Linked DNA regions of Lonchura striata. The protein of the gene in region 1 interacts with the protein of each later gene in a pairwise test. Links are inferred from orthologs where the notes say so. Each region holds a gene or a part of one and is shown on either strand. Other genes may lie near its edges.

The links.
Region 2: the proteins of AGTRAP (region 1) and PDHX interact in binary tests that used the Homo sapiens proteins (3 or more experiments, as listed by UniProt). The two-hybrid records come from large-scale screens. The link is inferred for Lonchura striata from reciprocal best matches to the Homo sapiens genes AGTRAP and PDHX.

What each region holds. Positions count from the first base shown.
Region 1 is NC_134626.1:5,565,063-5,575,586, reverse strand, and holds the start of AGTRAP (type-1 angiotensin II receptor-associated protein), read left to right. Parts: upstream 1-5,599; 5' UTR 5,600-5,646; coding exon 5,647-5,673; intron 5,674-10,524. UniProt on the Homo sapiens protein: Appears to be a negative regulator of type-1 angiotensin II receptor-mediated signaling by regulating receptor internalization as well as mechanism of receptor desensitization such as phosphorylation.
Region 2 is NC_134608.1:43,716,167-43,726,253, forward strand, and holds the start of PDHX (pyruvate dehydrogenase protein X component, mitochondrial), read right to left. Parts: upstream 4,633-10,087; 5' UTR 4,619-4,632; coding exon 4,477-4,618; intron 1-4,476. Other genes in the region: APIP (methylthioribulose-1-phosphate dehydratase), read left to right, coding at 4,963-4,992, 7,191-7,291.

The DNA.
Region 1 (10,524 bases):
TGGATTGCTTGCTCACACTGGAGTTTCAGAAAGAGAGCCTGTGACCAAGTGTCATTCCTGCTGAGTCAAGCTGTGGTGTCGCAGAGGTGGAGCAGGAAGGTGAGCAGTGGCACAGGCACATGCTGCATGGCCACAGCAGCGTGGAAGGAATCAGCCTGAATTACAGGTCAGCCAGATCGACTACTGACTTCACAACTGCAAAGTGCAAAGGAAAGCTGTTGAGTAAATAACATGCAAAAGTGTAGAATGCAAGAGCAGCCTGTGATATAAAACCCCAGGGCAATATTTGTACAAGTCCAACCCACCTGTGAGCACAGCAAAGCTTCTTAGTGCCACTCTGTGCTGTCTCAAAGGCATGACAGCAGCTGCAGAGCATCACCATCACGGGTTACTTTTAGCAGCTTTCCCCTTTCTTCCCAGTATCTTGTAGTCACAGTGCTCTCAGTAAGTTTTGCCTTTGAGGGCATTAAGTCTGAACAAGAGAGAGATACAAATGTCAAGCAAGACTTGATTTATATGTTCTTCTCAACTGATTGTTTAAGAAACTCAAATTAAGAATTCACACAAGCTCAGCTTCTCTGCTGCCCCCAGAGAATTTAAGTCAGAGCTCTTGCAAGACTGACTATTGTCTTGAAAGGACTTTGGAGTAGGCCCAAACCAGCCATAGCAGGACTTTGTGCAATAATTTCTAAAGTTAATCACAGAGCATGCATGCAATAAAGGTGAGTGACAAAGTCCCACCCAAAGTCCTATTCTATAGCTAATGCTGTTAGTTGTCCCTGAGAGTCCAAAGGTTATGCATCACCTTAAACTGCTTCTCCAAGGGTGAGAATCATTAAACATTGAAAAGAGAGAAGAGCATGCTGATTTGACATAATCACTTCAGCAGCTGCCTGCTCTGCAAATGCTGTTGGATCTCAGGCATGTTGCTGGTAGTTGCCAAAATGATGACTGCAAGAGAGGCAAGGAGTGGAAGCACAAATTAAAACACTTGGGAATTATTCTGTCTCAGGTCTGTAATAGTCTGCATTCATTTTCGCTTGGAGGTGTTTTATTGAAACTCTCTCCCTTCCTTCCCTCCCCCAGTAATTACCCCATTGTAAATCCACAGTGTGTGAAAGTGCTTCAATTTGAAACCCATGCTATATCAAATTGTTCTCATCCATGCCAGTCATTCTCTGCTACATGAAGCCTGGAAAATACATTACTTTCATATTTTTTATCAGAAAAAAACCCGAGGGCTGTTGTTTTCTTGGAACATTCTGAGTGAGCATATGTGCTCCATAAAACCACTTCTGGTGCTTCAGTTCATTTTCTGGAGTGCCAGTGAACCTTGAAGAGTGGTCTCTTAATGATATCTCAAAGCTTTAGTTAGATCTTAGAAAATCAGAGGAGCAGCTCATTGCTGCTGAGATTGGGAAGGACTTCCAAGTGCATTTGTCAAGACACCACATTAATGTGACCCTCTCCACTCCCCAAATCACCTTGCCATAGTCTGTTTTGCATTGCAATTGCAGGAGGAGGCTTTCCACCAGCATCCAAAATACCTTCACTTTCCCCTCCAATACAGATAATGATTCTGTTTGCTGATTTCCCACTGGGATTTAAAAGGGAGTTTGTAGAGCCGGGCAACTTCTATATGTCCTTCCTCACTACTTATTCAGAAAGGCTCTGTGGCTAATATATATATGTATTTGTGCTGAGCTGGTGCCTTCACTGCTCTCAACTCCATAGCCAGGGGCAAAACTTAGAGATGCTGGTGTCAGCTGCAGTCTTTAGTTGTCTTCAGACTAAACCCCTAGAGAGGGGGAGAAGGGCAGAACTATGAGAGGGGAGCTTGTCTCCACCTCCAAGGGCCAGATAAGGACAGCAGAAGCAATTTTATTAACTCTATGGAATTAACCTATGGAATTGCTATCATCTTACACACCAAGGGTACAGTGTCCTGAAAATGCAAAGGAAAGCATTTCTGCTTTATTAGCTCACTTTTATTGCTATCAGTGTGGAGATCCAGCTGTGTATTAGGCTTTTACTCAGTCTGCACAAGGCAAACCAAAATATTTTAAAAAACAACAGCTTTTGCATAAAGCAGATAATTGCTGGGCATTGGTTGCAGTGAGCTGAAATCACCTGGAGCAGTCTTCTAGTCACAAAAATCTGTTTATCCAGTCTCCTGGGTAACCTGCTTCTCCCTGCAGCCCTTCTTTAACTTACTGCTTATCTTCCTCACCATGTTGTGTTTCTTCATTAAACCTGGGGAAGGGAAGAGAGACAGTGGTTACACAGAGAGGCAAATTACAAGGTACACCAGCACAATGTAGAAATAAAAAACAAGCAACCCCCAGATCACACAGGTGTGACAGACATACAAATGCATAATGTCAGTCACAGCTCTCATTGCTTTCATATCCATGAGATAATTCCTAAATCCCTTGAGTCCCTGACATGCAAGCCCAGGATATAATAAGCAGGGATGAATTAACTGCATGATACACTGATGAACAAAATGAAATCAAGTGCTTTTATTGTACAAGGGGAAATGCTTTGCATTGAACAGTGGACACATCAATTCAAATTATGGCTCACGCTGCATAAATGATAATGAGACTCTGTCTCAGGCTGAGTGAGAAAGCTGAAGGGAGCAAAGACGCCCACATGATGCTACATCCTATCAGTGCTTATCATTCAACTGGGACAGCAGAATTTATGTTCCTAACAAACAGCTCTCCTTTGAAAGATACCTGTCTGGGCAGAAGGGCATCCTAGTGCACTTCGCACACAGCACTGAGCCAGCAGTGTGCCTATTCAGGCTCTTTAGCTTTTCCCCCATCCCAAGTGTCACATATTTTTGTCATTTATGTTGAAATCCAGTCATTCCTTGGCATTACTGGAACCACTAGCATTGATGTTATTTGATACCACCACTTCTGTAGATAAAGACAGGACTTCCCTGCAAGACCCAGTAATGTGTCCATGCAAGACATAATAATGGAAGTGAAGGCACAGCTCATGTGTCATGAGGAAATAGGAGTTATATTTCAATCTTTCATTTGAAAGTGACATATTCAGAGATTCCTGAGGGGACTTTCACAGCCTTTTTGGGTTTTTTACTTTTGTTCTTAGCTATGCAGCCAGTTAGTTTTATCCTCTATGCTTCCTAGCATTTTCTAGGTAATTTCATTTTGGCATTTAATGCTTTGCCTTGGGAAATCTTGAAGTGTGCTGCTTGAAGCAGTCAATAGCACTCAGGACACGGTCAAGGACAGGCTGGATAGCACTACATTTGTGGCTTGTTTGAGAATGTCTGATGGTAGGTTCAGCACTGCACAATTCTCACTGCTTGAACTGGAAATGAGACTGAAGGATGACACATGCATTTCCACATCCAACTTCTGCAATGAACCTCTGACCCAGCTAATTTCTCAGAGGCCCCATCTTTTCTTTAAGAAGGAATAATGACAAGAAAGGAACTAACCTAATAAGACATCACAGCCTTACACTGCAGACAGCACACATTAGGCAAGGATAGGAGGGTTTGAGAAATGTCATCCTGACCTCTGGGTTCTGTTACTTCATTTGCTAGACTTGGGGAGAAGGCTGCTGGTATGAACTACACAGGAAATGGTAAATTACAGCTGAACTGTGTGGGGTTGAATTGGTCACTTAGCAACTTCTCTAGCTCTAAAATGAAACCAGATTTCTTTAGGAATAAGAAATGAAGAACTTGTTATTTGCACCAGGATTTTAGGCAAAGGATACAGTCATTGAGTTCTAGGGGAAAAATCCAGGGCCAAGGGAATCAACTGTGTACCTGCCAGCCATCCTAGCTACTGCCTCAACACCTAAGACTGACCTTAACTTGACTTAGCTGTTGGGTGACGTAGCTGAGCACAGTTAGCACCTCAAAATAACCTTTTTGTTGGTGTCTATCAACAGTTTCTTTGCAACTCCTTAAATTTTGGTCAGACCACTGATATATGCACAAGAACTCTTCCTGCAGAAAGCTGCTAAGTCCTTTGCACACAGCTTTCCCAGACACTGATTACAACCAAAGTATAATGTCCAACCTTGTCTCACTACATTGCATGTGCAAATAGAAGGAAGAGTTTGGCTGCCTTTTTGCAGCCAACAAACTGATCTGTGCACACTTTAGCTGGGTGTTTGCAACCAAGAAACTTATATATGCATATTTTTAACTTGATGGTGGCTTTTGAAACAAATTCACAGAATTGTTAGGGTTGTCAAGTATCCAATATTAGATATTTCATACAAGGAATGGCGCAAATTATGTTTACTACACATAAAAGAGGCATTATCAAGATAATTCTGTTATGCATTATTATAATTTGCGCTAATGAAATATTGTTGTATTGAATCAAGGGAAATATGATTTGGCACGTGTAATATTTAGTTATTACAAACTACACACACCAGCACTGTGAGCTGCCCCCCCACACATATTCGGTTACACCAGAGCCGGGTTTTGTTGGACAATGCCTCATTTACAATCTTATACATGTGGCCGGTCTGGAGATGGGCTGGAACACCTGGGAGCTGATCAATACCAAAGGACCTGGGAGCTGATCAGTCCCAAAGGACCTGGGAGCTGAATAATACCAAAGGACCTGGGAGCTGAATAATACCAAAGGACCTGGGAGCTGATCAGTCCCAAAGGACCTGGGAGCTGATCAATCCCAAAGGACCTGGGAGCTGATCATCCTGGTAACAATCCAAGATTGGGATCACTGGAGTCCTCCGGGCTGATACATCTGAACGCCAGGAAAATCAGGAAAAATCGTCCACACCTGGACCTGGATTGTTCAACCCCGGCTCGGAGAAAAGAACTTTATGAATATGTGGGACTCTGAATAGAAAGAAAAGGCTGAAATCCTGGCCTCGGGCGGAAAATTTCCTGTAAGAACTGCAGGGCCCAGGAGTGTGGTCTGTGTGTGTCCAGGGGAACCTCTGCCAGAGGCTCCTTCCTGTCATGCACCCAGCGCCGAACCCGGGCTCGGCACTGTCCTTTTCCTTGTGGCTGGCTCAGAGAGAATTCAATCCTGAATAAATATTTTATTATTTCACTTTTAATTTGGCTGGACTAATTTGCATTTATAACAGTTCATATCAAGCAAGCAGAGCACCCGGGCTGCCTGTCCTGACGGGACACGCCTAAGCAGCCGCCCCTCAGCGAGCTCCGACAAGGGCCTGTTCTGGGCCCGGGAAGAATTCGATCCTAAATAAACATTTTATTATTTCACTTTTAATTTGGCTGGACTAATTTGCGTTTATAACAGTTCATATCAAGCAGGCAGAGCACCTGTGCTGTCTGCCCTGACGGGACACGCCTAAGCAGCCGCCCCTCAGCGAGCTCCGACAAGGGCCTGTTCTGGGCCCGGGAAGAATTCGATCCTAAATAAACATTTTATTATTTCACTTTTAATTTGGCTGGACTAATTTGCGTTTATAACAGTTCACACCAGGCAGGCAGAGCACCCTGGACACGCCTAGCTCAGCGAGCTCTGCAAGGGCCCAGCACCGCCGGCAGCGCCCGACGCGGCCGGGCCGGGCGGGGCCGGGGGCGGTGTCCCGGCTCCCCCCGCCCCTGAGCCCGGCCCTGCCGCACCGAGCGGCCCCGGGGCCGCTGCCATGGAGCTGCCGGCCGTCAGCCTCAAGGTAGGGCTTGCCCTGCCCCGGGGCCGGGGAGCGGGGCCGGGGGGCTCCTGGGGCGGGTGGAGCCGCGGGCACTCCGGGCAGCCCTCCCCGTATCCTTTCCTCTCGCACGTTCTCCAGCCGAATGTCTGCTCCACGTCCTGGCTGAGGCCCTGCTCGGAGCTGCGGGGCTCTCCGAGGAGGAAAACCTGAAGTTTTCCTCCTTTTTCCTAAGGAGAAGAAACTGAAGTTTTCCTCCTTTTTCCTAAGAAGGAAAAACTGAAGTTTCTACTTTTTTTTTTTTATCACATGCGCAAAGGGTGCAGAAGTTCTGAACGCCAGGAATCCGAGTCGCGGGGAGGGTTAGGTTGGCTATCAGGAAAACCTTTTCCCCAGAGGGTGATAAGGCACTGAACAGGCTCCGCAGGGTCACAGCATCAAGCCTGCCCGAGCTCAAGGAGCATTTGGACAATGAGCTCAAGCACAGGCTGGAGTTCTTGGGGTGTCTTGTGCAGTGCAAAGAGTTGGTGATCCTGATGGGTCCCTTCCAACTCAGTGTATTTTATGATTCTTAGTTAAACCCACCAGGTGATGACTCCAAAGTTTGACCCTACTTCAGAGATATTGCTGAAGTGGCTAAGGACTGTGCAGAGACAACAGCTGGCTATTAACTAGTGTCCATGGAGGTTTCCAGCTCAGCTGACCAGAACTAAGGCAAGATAAACACTGCACTCCTCAATCCTGAGGAGACAAAGTTTTGCTTGTCAGACAAAGTATCTTAGAAAAATAAGTTCACTTACTTGGGGCTTATCATCTGAGACATAACTGCAGTTGCTTCTCTGCTGGGGAGGGCAGGCTCCACTTGTGGGCACTTCGGAAATTTCAATGAATATCTGATAACCAGGGAAAGGAGATATAAGAGACTTAACCAGTAACATAACATTTTTCACTTTTGGAAGAAGCACTTGGTGACAAGCCAGTGGATGTTAAAATCACACTTTGCTTTTGATGTCGATATTTGATTCTGATGTCTTCTGTGCTACCAGATACGTTATATTTTTCTCTTTTTTCTTTCACATTTTCAGAACTCTGAGATTTCTAGATGTTTCTGTCCTTTCCCAGCTTTGCTACTTTGTGATTTCATTTAATGCAGAATGGTTCAGGTGCTTTCTTTGGTTAAAGCTTTGCCCAGAGACTGAAAGCATCACAGATCACATCAGGGCTTTTTTTGCTGGTGATTCGTTAAGCTGTGAGCAGTGGCCTCGGACCAGGTTGCCTATGGGTTGGAAGAGAGAATAGAATTATCTCAGCTACCATTATTAATTCAGCTTTGTACAGGACAGCTTTCATGTGGCTGTATTAAAGAAAAGATTGCTGTTCATATAATGATGAATACCCCTCTTACTAGTTCACCAAGAAAAGCAACTTCCCTTGTTAGAGGCAAGTAAGCAAATGGATTTTTCAAGGCCCAGCTTGTGGATTATATTACATTCTGGAAACTAGCTGATACTTTGCTCTGACAAGTTTGGACTACTGTGTAGTTCCCAGGGCACTAGGAAGATTAAAAGATCTTGCCTTCTGCTTTGTTTTTTAACTTGGTTTGATTATTTTTTTTTTCCACGCTAAAACAACAGTGAAAACTAAGGACATTTTAATTAAAAATTTTGCCAACACGAAATACATGTTCTCCATGAGAAATGAAGATAGGGGAGCTGAAAAACACTGACTTTTCAATGAATGAGCCACAAAGACAACAAAACTAAAATGTTGCTTTTCTTCTCTTGTTCAGACAACTGTTTTCCCAGTCTCTTGCTAGATAAGTGTGAGTTTGTCCTGGGCAAACTGTTTTCAGCATTAAGAAATTCTTGGTTGTGAAGTCTGCCACTTCTGCTCTGAGCTGCAAAGACAGGAATTGGGAGTTAATAGTTGTGCCTGCACTTCATTCTGTACCTGAGTTAGGGCCTGATTCCCTGTAAAATACCACAAAGGTGGGGAAGATTCTTACTCAGAAGAGTAAGTAACACACACTGCTGCTATTCATTGGCATGATCTGCTTACAGGTTCTGTGAGATTATGAAGATGAGTCTTGTGATAGAGATAGTTCAAAGAAAGCTGCATGACTGAGCTGTGCCTGTGCCAGAATGTAGCAGTATCTTAGCCTTGGGGTCTCTCTTTAAGCTCCTTGCAGAGCTGTAAAATTAAGGTAGGCTTTGCCCTGGAGTGGGTGGGGAACATGCTCATTGAACAGGATCTACTGGCTTGGTTTTAACAGCCATGCTCAGCAAAACGGGGGAAGCAGCACAGCCATACTTTTGCCATGACAGCCATGATTATTGAAATAATCATGCAGAGCCTTGAAATACAACGTTTGATCAAGGCTGGACAATGCCCTACAATCCATGTGCCTGGAAACACGTATTTTGTGCTTAGGCATTTTTTAATGCTAAGTCACCGAGTCAAGGAATAATAGAGATGTCTGTATGCCATGTGATTAAACCTCCTACTCAAAGCAAGGCAAACTGCAAAGTTAGATCAAATAGCTCAACTCAAAAATCAGCTGAGTTTTAAAATAAGAACAGAGCCATGTCAGCCCCATTGTATAGTCTGTCCCACTGCTTAAGCACTCTCATTATTATCACTCTGTTATAATAATGAGGAGCATATTCACAGGTGGCCACTCAGATTAATATTTTGGTTTTGTGTGTTCTCAGGTGAATGCCGTAGAGTAGGCGAGCTCACTCTAAAATAGAAATTTAGATAAAACCAAGAAAATAACTTTAATTTGGAACTGTTTCATTTTTAACTTCTTCAAAATTCAGTCTTGTGCTAAGCTCTGTGCTGAAGCATGTTTAAAAGAGTTCCTGTTCCAAAGAGCTTCCCATCTAATGAGACCCTGGCAGACACTGGCTCTTTTTATGCTTGGCAATTAGTTCCATCACATGCTGGGATTTGCAAAGGAGGTAGGAATTCTCCTTAGCTCTCCCCAGTTTCCAATGGGATGCTTTTAATTACATAGCCATCCTTTTTCCCAGAGGAGATGGAGACAAAAGACCCACCTTTCTTATTTTCTGCTCTCACCACTAGTTCATCAATAACTTCAGAGTTATTTTCTCAAAAGAAGAAATGTATGTCTGTCTTATCTACAGACTTAAGTCCTTGGATAGATGGAAAAATTTTAAATTCTTCTGCTGTTTTATTAGAAGAGTGCCTGCAAATTAACTGGTCTCACATAGTAGCTTGTAGTTTTTCATTAACACCATATTTTCTGTGTTAAAGCATACCAACACCACCAGCCATTTCATAGACTGCTGAAGAACTGTCAGGTAAATTGGACTAATAACTAAAAAGGGAATATCTTGGTTTTATTTCAGCAGCCATTCATAGTATAAGCCCTAGTATACCTGACTTTATGCTGATGACTAAACATACCTCATAATTTAGTAACTGCAGTATTGATCTAGACAGCTTTTAAAAAAACCCACCCTGCTTAATTATGTTAACTGGTGAGCCTTGCGGGGTCTTGTGGGTATGTAACATGCAATTAAATACCACCTAATTAAAATTTTTCCTGATGTTGTGATAGTCTCTTGAGTAAATGCTATTTGCATGTCTCCATTCTTATCCAGGAACATCTTGTATTTTACTGATTAGCAGGTTTTCCATTGTGTCTGTGGTACAATTTGGGAGAAGGGGAAGCACAAGGGGTAGTGAAGCATTTTGTAAGCTTTCATAAACAATTAAAAAAATGAATTAGTAAAAATCTCTCTAAGCATTGTTGGAAGTTACAGCAAAGTCTAGTGAGTGCTCAGCAGCTGTGGTGGGATGAGAGATGTTTTAAGTCAAAGAATCTAGCAGGCTGTCAGTAGATCTTAATTTATTTTTTGTGCCTTTATGCTCCTATCTGCATACAGCTTTCCTGTGTTCACTGAGTAACTTATTCTTTTGCTGTGTACTCATTTCCCAATTTTCTTTTTTTCCTTTGGTGTGGGGGAGTGTGCTTCAGAGGGGTTTTGATAATGTGGGTTTGGTTTTTTTAATACCAAGGTCAGCAGAAATGCCAATTTGAAGACTTTCTCACAGCTAGGAAAAAATGAAAGTGCTCCTGTATCCCATGGATCCTCTGATATGTCCAGGCTTCAGCCTTTCCTTAGTGAGGCTGTTAATAGAGCCTTGTCTCCCATATTCTTGCTTTTATAAAAGTTTAGAGAGGAAATAGGAGTGATCTCCTTTTGCTGGAGTGACCAGCAGACTATAGATACAGAAAAAGCCTTGGGTGATATATTGTTGTTCCCATTTGCTCTCTGAATAAACATGTAGGGTATGTTTCCTTGGTTACAAAAATGGCAAGTGGTGGTGAAGAGCATCCTTGTATCACTTATTACAGTATGATCCTTTCTTCTTGGATTTGTCCCATTAAGCACAAGGACCATGATCATTAAGGACACTTGCAAAATACAGAATTTATGATAGCATTATCTTACTGCTACTCAGGCCACTGCTGGTAATGGGACCTAGTGGCTTCACTGGGAGTGAAAAGAGCTGTGTGCTCTGGCAGGATCAGGTTCACAGAGTCCTGGAAAAAGCCTTCAGGTCTGTTAATGCTGCAGTGAGCTTGGACCACTGCTCTGAACAGACTGGAAGGAGGTAAAAGAAGGATTTGCTGAGGACTGGAGGGAAATTCTGGGAGCTGTAGGCATGGCTATCCATGGGCTTTTTGGTGATGGGATGCCAGATTGTTAATGTATAAACTGTGCTAGCACAGTGTTAATCAGATTGCCTGGCTTTCTGTGCAAACTCTTATGGAGTTCCAAAATTAATAACCCATTTAGAAAAGGCTAAGTGGTCCCTGAATCAGCTGTTGACAGAGATGACAAG
Region 2 (10,087 bases), on another chromosome or scaffold:
TTTCTGTTCTGGTGAGATCCCAGGATCTGGAGGAATGTATCCAGCTCCTGAATCCTCAGCACAGGAAAGGCATGGATGTGTTGGAGGGGGGTCAAAGAACATGCACAAAAATGATGAGGGAGGGAGCTCATCTTATATGAAGAAACAAGAGAGTCAGAGTTGTTAAGCCTGGAGAAGAGAAGATTCCAGGGAGACCTTATTGCAGTCCTGCAATAGTTACTAAAGGGGGCTTTTAAGAGAGATGGGGACAGACTTCTTAATTGGGCCAACAGCAATGGAACATGGGGTACTGGTCTGAATTGAAAGAGGGAGGATTTAGACTGGCTTTAAGGAAGATTTTTACAATGACAGAGGTGAAACATAGAAACAGGCTGCCCAGAGTGGTGGTGAATGCTCCACCACTGGGAGATTGGATGGGGTTCTGAGCAACTTGGTCTATTTAAAGATGCTCCTGCTCATTGCAGGGGGGAAGGACTAGATGACCTTAAAGGTCCCTTCCAATCCAAACTGCTCAATAGTTTTTTAAAAATGTGACACGGAAACATTGTAGCAAACCTCTAATGACCTAAGCAGCCATCAATGATCCTGATATTTTAAAATGCACCAAGAGCAGAAAGTTACTTATTCCCTAAAGCTCCCAAGACAAACACAATCAGAATCATGCTACCAAAAACATTTGAGTTTTGTGGAAACGAGCTCAATTGCATGGTTGATGTTCCCAGAAGAACATGCATTTGCATGAGCAAATGCACATTCTTTTGTCTCAGTTTTTTCATGGTAGTTTTCAGTTTAATATTACTCATGACTGTCATGTTTAGAAATGTATCCAGACAATGTTCCTTGTAACACTCACAATTCCCATCTGAATTACCTCTATGCACTTTCTTTAAAATGTTTTTTGCAACTTCTCATCTAGGACTAATAAACAGAAAAATGAACTATGTTATGTACGTGAATGCTTATCTGTGTTCATTTCCAAAATAGTTTTGTAGTATTTGAGGTATGACTGACAAAGTATGAGTTTAAAACTGTCTTATACTATACATATTTATTAAAAAATATTTCTCTATAACAGAAAGTAGAAAACATTATACATTATATGATACATTATGGGATGCAAAGAAGTGTTCTCAGTTTCATTAGTCTAACTTGACAAGTCTGACTTTGACAATCAAAACATTATTTTCAAACAATATCCCACAAATATCTAGGATTATTGAGAACTAGTGGACAAACCTCATTTTTAAAAGTGCAAATAATCCACATATTTAATGAAGAAAAATTTTTTTAAACAGTGGCTCACATTTCTCTTCCATGAAGAGCTATTTGATCCATTTCCCAGAATATGCTTTGTACTTTGGCACAAATACAAAACTGAGCAAGAAATTTGTGCCACTTTAACATTTTCCCATCAATGTTATGAGTAACTACCCCAAAGCATACAATCCATTCTGATCCTTTCATCAAGTTAGAAAAAGAACTCCAGCAGCAAGTTGAAATGGAGGAATAAACAAAGCTAGATACAAAGTAGAAGACAGAACCTTTTAATGCTTATGTCCAGAGAGGCCCACGCTCAGAGAAGTTCAGAGAATTAAGAGCCTTGCTCAGCATGAGATACGCAAGAACACCAGCCACAACGGGAGTGTTTCAAAGCTGGTTTAGTTACTTTTTGAGTTAATGACCACACACATACAAAAACCAGGCTTCAAAGCAACCCCGCAAAGAAAAGCAGCCTTACAATGTAGAATTACCTTCACCAAATATTATTTGCCCTCATCAAATTAAAAAGGGGATACTAAGAGGAATCACTGCATTTACATGAGTTAGTTGCACAGTACAGGCAGCCCTTACAAGGACTTCCATTGGGAAGGTAATATTGTTGCTTTGCAATTGTGGGTCAGCAAAAAGTTCTGGCAATTTGCACAGAATCTCAACGACTGAGCTCATGGGCAAATCAGAATTTAGAACCATAAGCAAGCAAAACTTCTGAATTTTCAGTCACCACCAACTGATTTTTACTTCTATCAATAGCAACTGTGTTATTACACTTCAATTATGTAAATATAAAGGAGGAAGACTTAAAACGAACCCAAACAAACTTCCCATGAACAAGAGACTGCTATTTTAAAGACAGCTCTCTGTGTATTCGTTCTTGGTGACACGTTTTAACTGTCAAGTTGAGTCTGGCAACATTTCTGCTGCCTTCCTTCTCTGTCAAGGGATTCAATGCATGTTTAACCTGTCCCACTAGAAAGATATTTCGTAACTTCCTACACACACTCTGCAGTCTGTAGAGAACTGAAAAATGTACTGCAACTTAACACCAATGTGGACTGAAGAGAGAAAAACAAGAAGCGTAGGACTTCATTAGCTAAAGCTCTAACTGGACAATGTTACTATGAAACATTAAAAGCAAAGAAAAATTGACACAGCTCTAACATAAAGAGGCCATTCTATTCTATTCTCTTGTTTTCCTCTTTCTCTGTTACCAACAAAGTAGGAATTCCATTCTGAATTAATTGTTTTAATTATGCAAATCAACTTTTCCTCTACCAGCACCACAAACATGGACAGAAGCATAGAAAGAAACAAAAAATTCATGCGACATGATAAACCAGATCCACATGAACCAATACATCAAATAGTGGCTTTTTCAGAAACAGAAAAGCAGAGAAATATAAATAATGCTAAAATAAAATTTGCTTAAATTTACATTGTCAAACTAGGAACCAAGGATGAGTTTTATGTCCAAATGAGCTGTGTGTCTTGTCAAATGAAGACAGTTTTACTTCTCATCTTTTATTTTAGAGGCAACAATGAAGTTAAGAAAATAGTTTGGTGATACCATTAAGAAAACTGGTATCACCAAAATACTCACCACCTTGAAAAGCTGTAAGTACACTAGAAGGATTGAATGAGGAAAGCCTGAATGACTTAAAGGTGTGATCTATCCACCCTAACACTTTAAAGCTTACTGTAAGGAATTAAAAGATTTTAGTCATTTGCATGTCCAAATTTAGAAATTTAACTCCAGCTATACATTAAGCACTCTCAATATAAAAAACACAATAGATTGTCTGGGAGGACTGTAGACAAAAATTATTTAAGGACAAGATAATAAGACCAATTTAGGAGTAGTTCATTGTGCATTATACTATATTTGCATACTATTATATGTAGAAAGAAACAAGCTTTTTCTAATGAAATTTGGAAACAAATAACATTTATTTCAAGAAAGGGATAGACTTTCCTGTATCTCACACAGCAGGTTTTACAAAGGAAAAGATTTTCATACTGCAAAGCAACAGTGCTGGAAAGAAGGGAATGTCGAGGTCTAAACCACAATGATTAAATTGTCTCTGAACTACTACTGAGTTTTATTACACGAGGTTAATGAAAGCTCACTTTTTTGTAAGCACACTTAAACCTCAAAGAGTTCAGGTATTTCATGCTCAGCATCACACAAGGACCTCATGACAATGCACCTGATCATTTTTTAAATGTTTTTTACAAGTTGTAACTTACAGAGCAAGCAGGGAAAGATGACATTTCATTTCAGGATCCGTAACTCATCCCACACCTCTTAGAGACAGAGGAAAACATGGAAGGGCAAATGATCTGCCTGATAATCATGTAGCAACAAACTCTTGAAGAATACATCTTGAAAGGGTGTTGTCATAACCTCACACCTTGATTTCTATGTAGGAAAGGATGCTAGACACACAAGTAATAAATTTTATTTTTCCATTAAAAAATCAAATAGAATAACATGAAAGATATATCACACATAGCAAGTAGGTTCTGCAGTTATTGGAAACATTACCAGAAGAGTAAGATGACAGAAATGTGGTGGAATTACCACACAAGGACCAAAATAACCAAATAAAAAACTTTCAGTGCTTAGCTATATTTCCACTTAGAAAACACAGTCCTGTTTTCAGTGGTGCAAACTTTCTCCTTATCCACAATAAAATATTCTCATATTTGAAGGCTTAATGTATTTTCCACTGTAGATTTTGCTTTCTTCCTTTCTAGACCTTTAATAATTACCACGTCCCTCCGAGTTTCTCCTGCCAGCCCACACACATCCCGCTGTGCTTTCAGTACCTCCCGAGACCAAGCGAACGGAGGGAGGACGTACAGCAGGGTGAAGAAAAGGTGTTTTGGGTTTCCCCCCTCCTTCGCATTATCCTGCTCTGATTTTGATTGGCAATAAACTCAGTGAATATCCCCAGTTCGAGTCTGCTCTGCCCACGACAGTAATGGACCAGTGTCCTTATCTCAGCACGTGAACCTTGTGCTATATTTTCTCTCCCCTGCCCGTGTGCGGAGGGGAGCTCTGGAGGAGCTGCGCAGAGCCCCTGACAGACACGCAGCCGGGGTCAGCCCACCGCAGCCACCCGCTCTCAGCCTTCTCCCCGCTGCACGTCCTCGCAGACGCACCTAGAGCAGGGCACCGGCCTCACCGCCACTCACCCAGCAGCTCCGGGGTGCCGTGCAGGTGCCTCCATCCTGCGCGGGCGGGCAGGGAGAGCCCCGCGCCCAGCGCCGAGCGCCCGGCCCGCAGCAGCCGCAGCAGCCGCTCCCCGCCGCCGCTCAGCCACAGGGACGCCGCCATCTTCCCCCGCCCCGACCGCGCGGGGCTGCCCCGCTGACCGCCTGAGCAGAAACAACCGGGCACGCCCCCGGAGCCCCCCGCGCCCCGCCCGCGGCACCGGCCGTGGGATCGGCCGCCTCGATCGCCGCGGCCACGGGCGAGTGCGATCGCACGGACATCCGCGCCCAGCCTGGCTGCTCGTCCCCCGGGCGCCCCCGCATCTCCTGTAGTCCCCTCGGCCCGCGGCGAGCAGCGGCCTCTCCATCCCGCCCTCCGGGGCTCGGGCCGGTGCCCACGGCCGGGGCGTGCCCAGCGCTCCGCAGGCGCCCGCGCGGGCGCCCCAAGAAGGCCCGAGCGAGGCCCCCATGGCGGGCGGCGGCGGGGACGCGGCGCAGGTAACGGGGCCGGGGCGGCGGGGCGCGCCGCTCCGAGGGCACCGGCACCGCGGGCTCGGCTGCGCTGGAGCCCCGCTCACTGCCGGCAGCCTCGCAGCTGCTCGCTAGCAGGGACGCCCTGCGAGTACCGGTGGGTGGCAAGCTGAGCACGAGCAGGAAGTGTGCCCTGGAGGAAAGTCAGGCAGCAAGGTCCAGGCGGAGTCAGTGTCCAGCATTCCAGGAGCAATGTTCATAAAAGCATGAGTTCGGCCTCAGCACGGGGATGAACTTCTTTACGCTGAGGCTGGCAGAGCACTGGAATAGGCTGCCCGAGGGAATCGTGGAGTTTCCCTCTCTGGAAACACTCAAAGCCCAGCTGGGCTTTCACCCGCTGGGGTGACCCTGCTTCGGCAGGGGGATTGCACTGAATTGTCTCCAAAGGGCTCTTCCAACCCAGCTATTCTGTGCGCCCACACAAACGTTATAAAATTTAGTACAGAATGTTGCCAGCTGTTAGTCTGGCTGCATCGACAGGAGTCATGGCTCTTTTTATGTTAACTGGGTGGTTTAGGTTTGTTTTCTGATTTGGTTTGTGGTTTTTTTTTGTTTTGTTTTGTTTTGTTTTTTTTGTTTTGTTTTGTTTTGTTTTTATTTGGTCTCTGACTGGGGCTTTATCTGTCATCACATCACAACCAGAACATGAGCTGGCAGTGCTGTGCTTCAGCAAACACTGAGCATATGGAGGCATTGTCTGGATGAGGCTCAGAACATCTCTCCAATTTGTATGTGACACTGGTGGAGAGACCAGCCCAAGCTTCAAAACCAGCAAGAACTGGCAGCAGGGAGATGAGAGGTATCAGCAGCCTAGATAATGTGGCCTGCCAGGAAAGTGGGAGGGAATCTAGCTCATCATAAACAAAGCAAAGCAAAAAAAGAGCAGCAGATTGAGTTGTCACAATACATAAAACATTGTCACAGAGGTGAGAGGGAAGACCATCTCCTGCATGTCCATGATCTTTGGTAAGAGAGAACAAATCCCACTGTCACTGGAGGTTGTAAAGATGAGGTTAAAGTAGGAGATTCGAAACGTTGTCAAACGTGCCCCAGGCTGCCATCTCCAGTAATTCACCTTTCCAGTCTCTGCCTCACGCTCCTGTTCCATGCTGCCTCCCCACCCTTACTTCTGCAAGTCCAACTCTTCTTTGTAAACATTTCAGCAAAGGTATTGGCACCAAGCACCTGCTTACCATTTCTACTGTGTGCTGCTATTGTTTTGGGTCTCTCTATTCTGTTGGTGTTGACAAAATGCTCCCCCCCCCCATGTGGATTCTTGGTGCTGAACAAATATTTTAATTGGAAATTATTTTGATGGGCATTAGTGACCAGGGTGAGCACTAGAGCAGCTAATCATTTTAAAGCTTCTAGTTGGTGCAGTAAAAAAAAAAAAGAATCCTACATAAAAGCACACCATAAAAGCAGCTCTATTACAGTGGTAATGTTGGTAGAAATTCTAACCTCTGACACCAGAGATACCTTTGGTTAATAGATATGGATATTAATGTAATAAAAAATGGAATAGGGAAAAACTACAAGATGGGTTTTTTCCCTTCTAAAGAAGTATTAAAATAATGTAATTTGCTTTTTGACTAAACTGCATGTAAAGTAACTTTGTGTTGTAAAAATGTAGGAATGTAAAGCCCATAAAATAATTTGCATATATTTTCCGTGGTATTTTTGAGTGCTGTTTAAAAATGTATATTGACTAATAAAGTCTGTCTGAAATTTGTAAATCAAGCAAAATAAACCTACAGAAAAACTGATTTAATAGGAAAACTATTAGTCAAGCTTTTAAAAATTGATGTTAGATGCATTTATTTTCCCCTTTTTTGTGCAATAGTCCATAACATAATCCTGCTGGTGTAATATCTACGGGCCACTGCGCTCAAATAAATTTTAGATGAGACTTCTTCTGTGAAGGATAGTCAGACTTGCACCTTATTTGGAGGTTTTGTTTGTTTCAAGGTGTAATGTCCCTGGCAGAGCATAAAGGGCATTGTGTAAACATGCAGTTATTTTGTAATTGAAATTCATTAGCATAAATTAGACCATTTTGCTGTAGTATGAAGGTACTAATCCTTTAAACCCAGTTTGAGAGCTTGAATTCTTAGGTTTGAGGTGTTTCTGATGGTTTTTCATTGATTTATTTATTTGCTTTTTAGGATGGGTTACATCCAAGGAATCTTATCCCAGAGCTTTGTAGACTATTTTATGGTTTAGGCTGGGTAACGGGAACTGGTGGAGGAATCAGCTTGAAACATGGGTAAGTAATGATGAAAGAAATAATGTGGTGGTGAGAGAGAGGTTGGCTGTGTTTCGTAGTTGGTGAGGGCATTTCAGTTCCATGAGAAATATTTGCAAGTCAAGAGTGAGCAAGAAGTTAGAGGGGGAAATGAGCAGTTTGCCAAAATTAACCATATAGGAGGAAGGTGAATTGTCTGAATTAATTATTGCAGACCCTTCAATGGGGAGAGACAATTTCAGAGAGTGACCTTATTCTGTACTTTTCCTACCTTTGTTTGAGGTAGATGAATTGTCTTTAAAGAACAATGTGTTCCCCCTTTTTCATTTCACTGACTGTGAAATGAAAAATGGAATTTATAGTGGATTACATCAGGCTTTCAAATGCCTGTGGTTAAATAAGATCAGTCTCACCCTGGATGTATTTTACAGGCCAGATATTTCCTCTAAGAAGGAAATTCCTGTTCCACTGAGGTCATTTCTAAGGAGAAAAATATTTCACATATAACTAAATCATGACAGGTAACAGCAATTTTGGGTCTGTATCTCCTATGAAGAAGCACCACTTTGTGTTTTAATTTGCCTATCTCCTGCCTTTTCATAATCCCCAATCCTTTTAGTGGGAACAGAGCTCCTCTCAGTGGCCACTGGAAAAAAGGATAAGTCTTCATTCTGTAAAAGGCCTTGCACAGTGCCTGCAATTCTGTACCCAGTCACAAGGTTGTGACACGATCTTGAAAGTATCTGACCTCTCATTTTTCCAGTATACATTTGCATGCAGGCACAAACAGCCATTGTATTCCAAGATGTATTTTATATATATATAAAAAATAAATAACCCCTAAACGCTCATACTTGTGCTGTTTGAACTTTGTGCAGGTCATTTCACCTCCCTGCTTGATTTTGCAAGCAAAGCCACAACAGTAATAATAATGAGATGAATGAAAAGAGGATAAATTCTGTGGGAAGATCTTTTTAGCTCTAATTTGTCATCAGTAGCTAAATGTAGCCTATTTTCTTTGTCATTCCAGTACAACTCCTGTTGGGTTTGGCAAGACAAATGTCATTATCAGAGAACACACTAATATAGTAATATAGTATTCCTTAGTAGTTCTCTAGCTGGTTTACTTGGCATTGTTAGAAAGGAAAATGTAAAAGAACAGTTGAAATTTGATTCAAATATAACAACTGTTTTTACCAGGTAATCTTAATCAGCCTTACTCACAGAGCAGTTCATATCAACCATCAAGAAAAAAAAAAAAAAATGAAAATTTGGACTTGGCATAGCATGTTAAAAATGAATGTAGAATTCTTTGTGAGCTATCTTGTATTTGAAGACTTTATTTTGTCATCATATTTTCTCGTTATGGTTAAGTTCTAAAAAAGAAAAAATCTGGTTTAAGAAAAATTTTTTGTCTGTCATAAGTAGCTGAGTTTACCACTTGATTTCATATCTTTCTCATGCAAATGAATCAAGATTAAATTAATGCAATGCCAGCAGTGTTAATTCATTAATGTCAAAAATTACAAATATGATAAAGCCACATTTTTTTGTGCTTCACAGACATTTTACCTCTATGAATAGTACATCATCTTAAGAGTTTTATTTTTGGAAGAATTAAAATCACAGAATTGTTTAGGTTGATAAAAATCCTTAATATCATCAAGTGTCCAACCATAAACCTACAACTGCCAAGTTCTCCACTAAACCACATTTCTAAGCATGATGCCTAAGTGTCTTCTAAAATCTTTCAGAGATGATGAGCCAAGTGCTTTCCTGGGCAGCCTATTCCAATGCTTGGTAACCTTTTCAGTGAAGAAATTTTTCCTAATATCCAATTTAAACCTCTCCTGATGTAAATTGAGGTAATTTCCTCTCATCTTGTCACTGGTTACCTGGCAGAAGAGACCAACCTCACCTGGCTACAGCCTCCTTTTAGCCAGTTGTTGAGAACAAAGAGGTCTTCCATGAGCCTTCTTTCTTCCAGGCTAAACACCCCCAGCTCCCTCAGCTGCTCCTCACAAGACTTGTGCTCCAGACCCTTCACCAGCTCCAATACTCTTGTCTAGAACTACAAATACCCCATGGTCCATAGGAAATGTGTCTGTAACTTGACTAATTATTCACTAGATGTCTCTGTGCTCCTTAGTACGTGATTGCTGAAGCCAAATATGATTGCAGTTCAGAGAGAGAATATAATTGGGGGTTTTGTGCTAATAATGAAAATAATGCAGTACGATCTTGAAATCATTTTAGTTTCAATCAGTTTTTACAGTTTTTCTTCATTTAGTCCTTGCAAGAAGTGATGCATTTCTACTTAAATTTAATTACACTGAATTAGTGAATTAGTGCTATCAACTCAACTAAACATGGAACTGCACTAGAAACCTAACCTCCACAGTTGAAAAAAAAGTGTTTACAGTGTTGCATGTTGCAGATAATTATTACTGTTTATAGATATTTTATGGATTTTTATGTAATGGTTTTGTCACCTGCCTTATCACAGATCATTATCTGTTTGCAATTTCTCATTTAAATTTTACTCTGAATTCTAGGAATTTGAGTTTGAGTTACTGCATGAAGAGGCTTTTTTTCTTTGTTGGAAAAATAAGGCTACACTTCTTACATTTGTTTCTGATGTCTGTCAAGTTGAAAGCAGGGTTTTGTAGCCCTGCAAGTCAGATTTTATCTGCCATTGTACAATTTCCTTCTATTTTGAAAACTATGTACCTGTCGATGTATTGGAAGAGCAAGAAAGTTTTTAAATTGTGAGGATTTAGATTTGCGATTTCCTTTTCAGTGGCTCAAGAGCTTGAA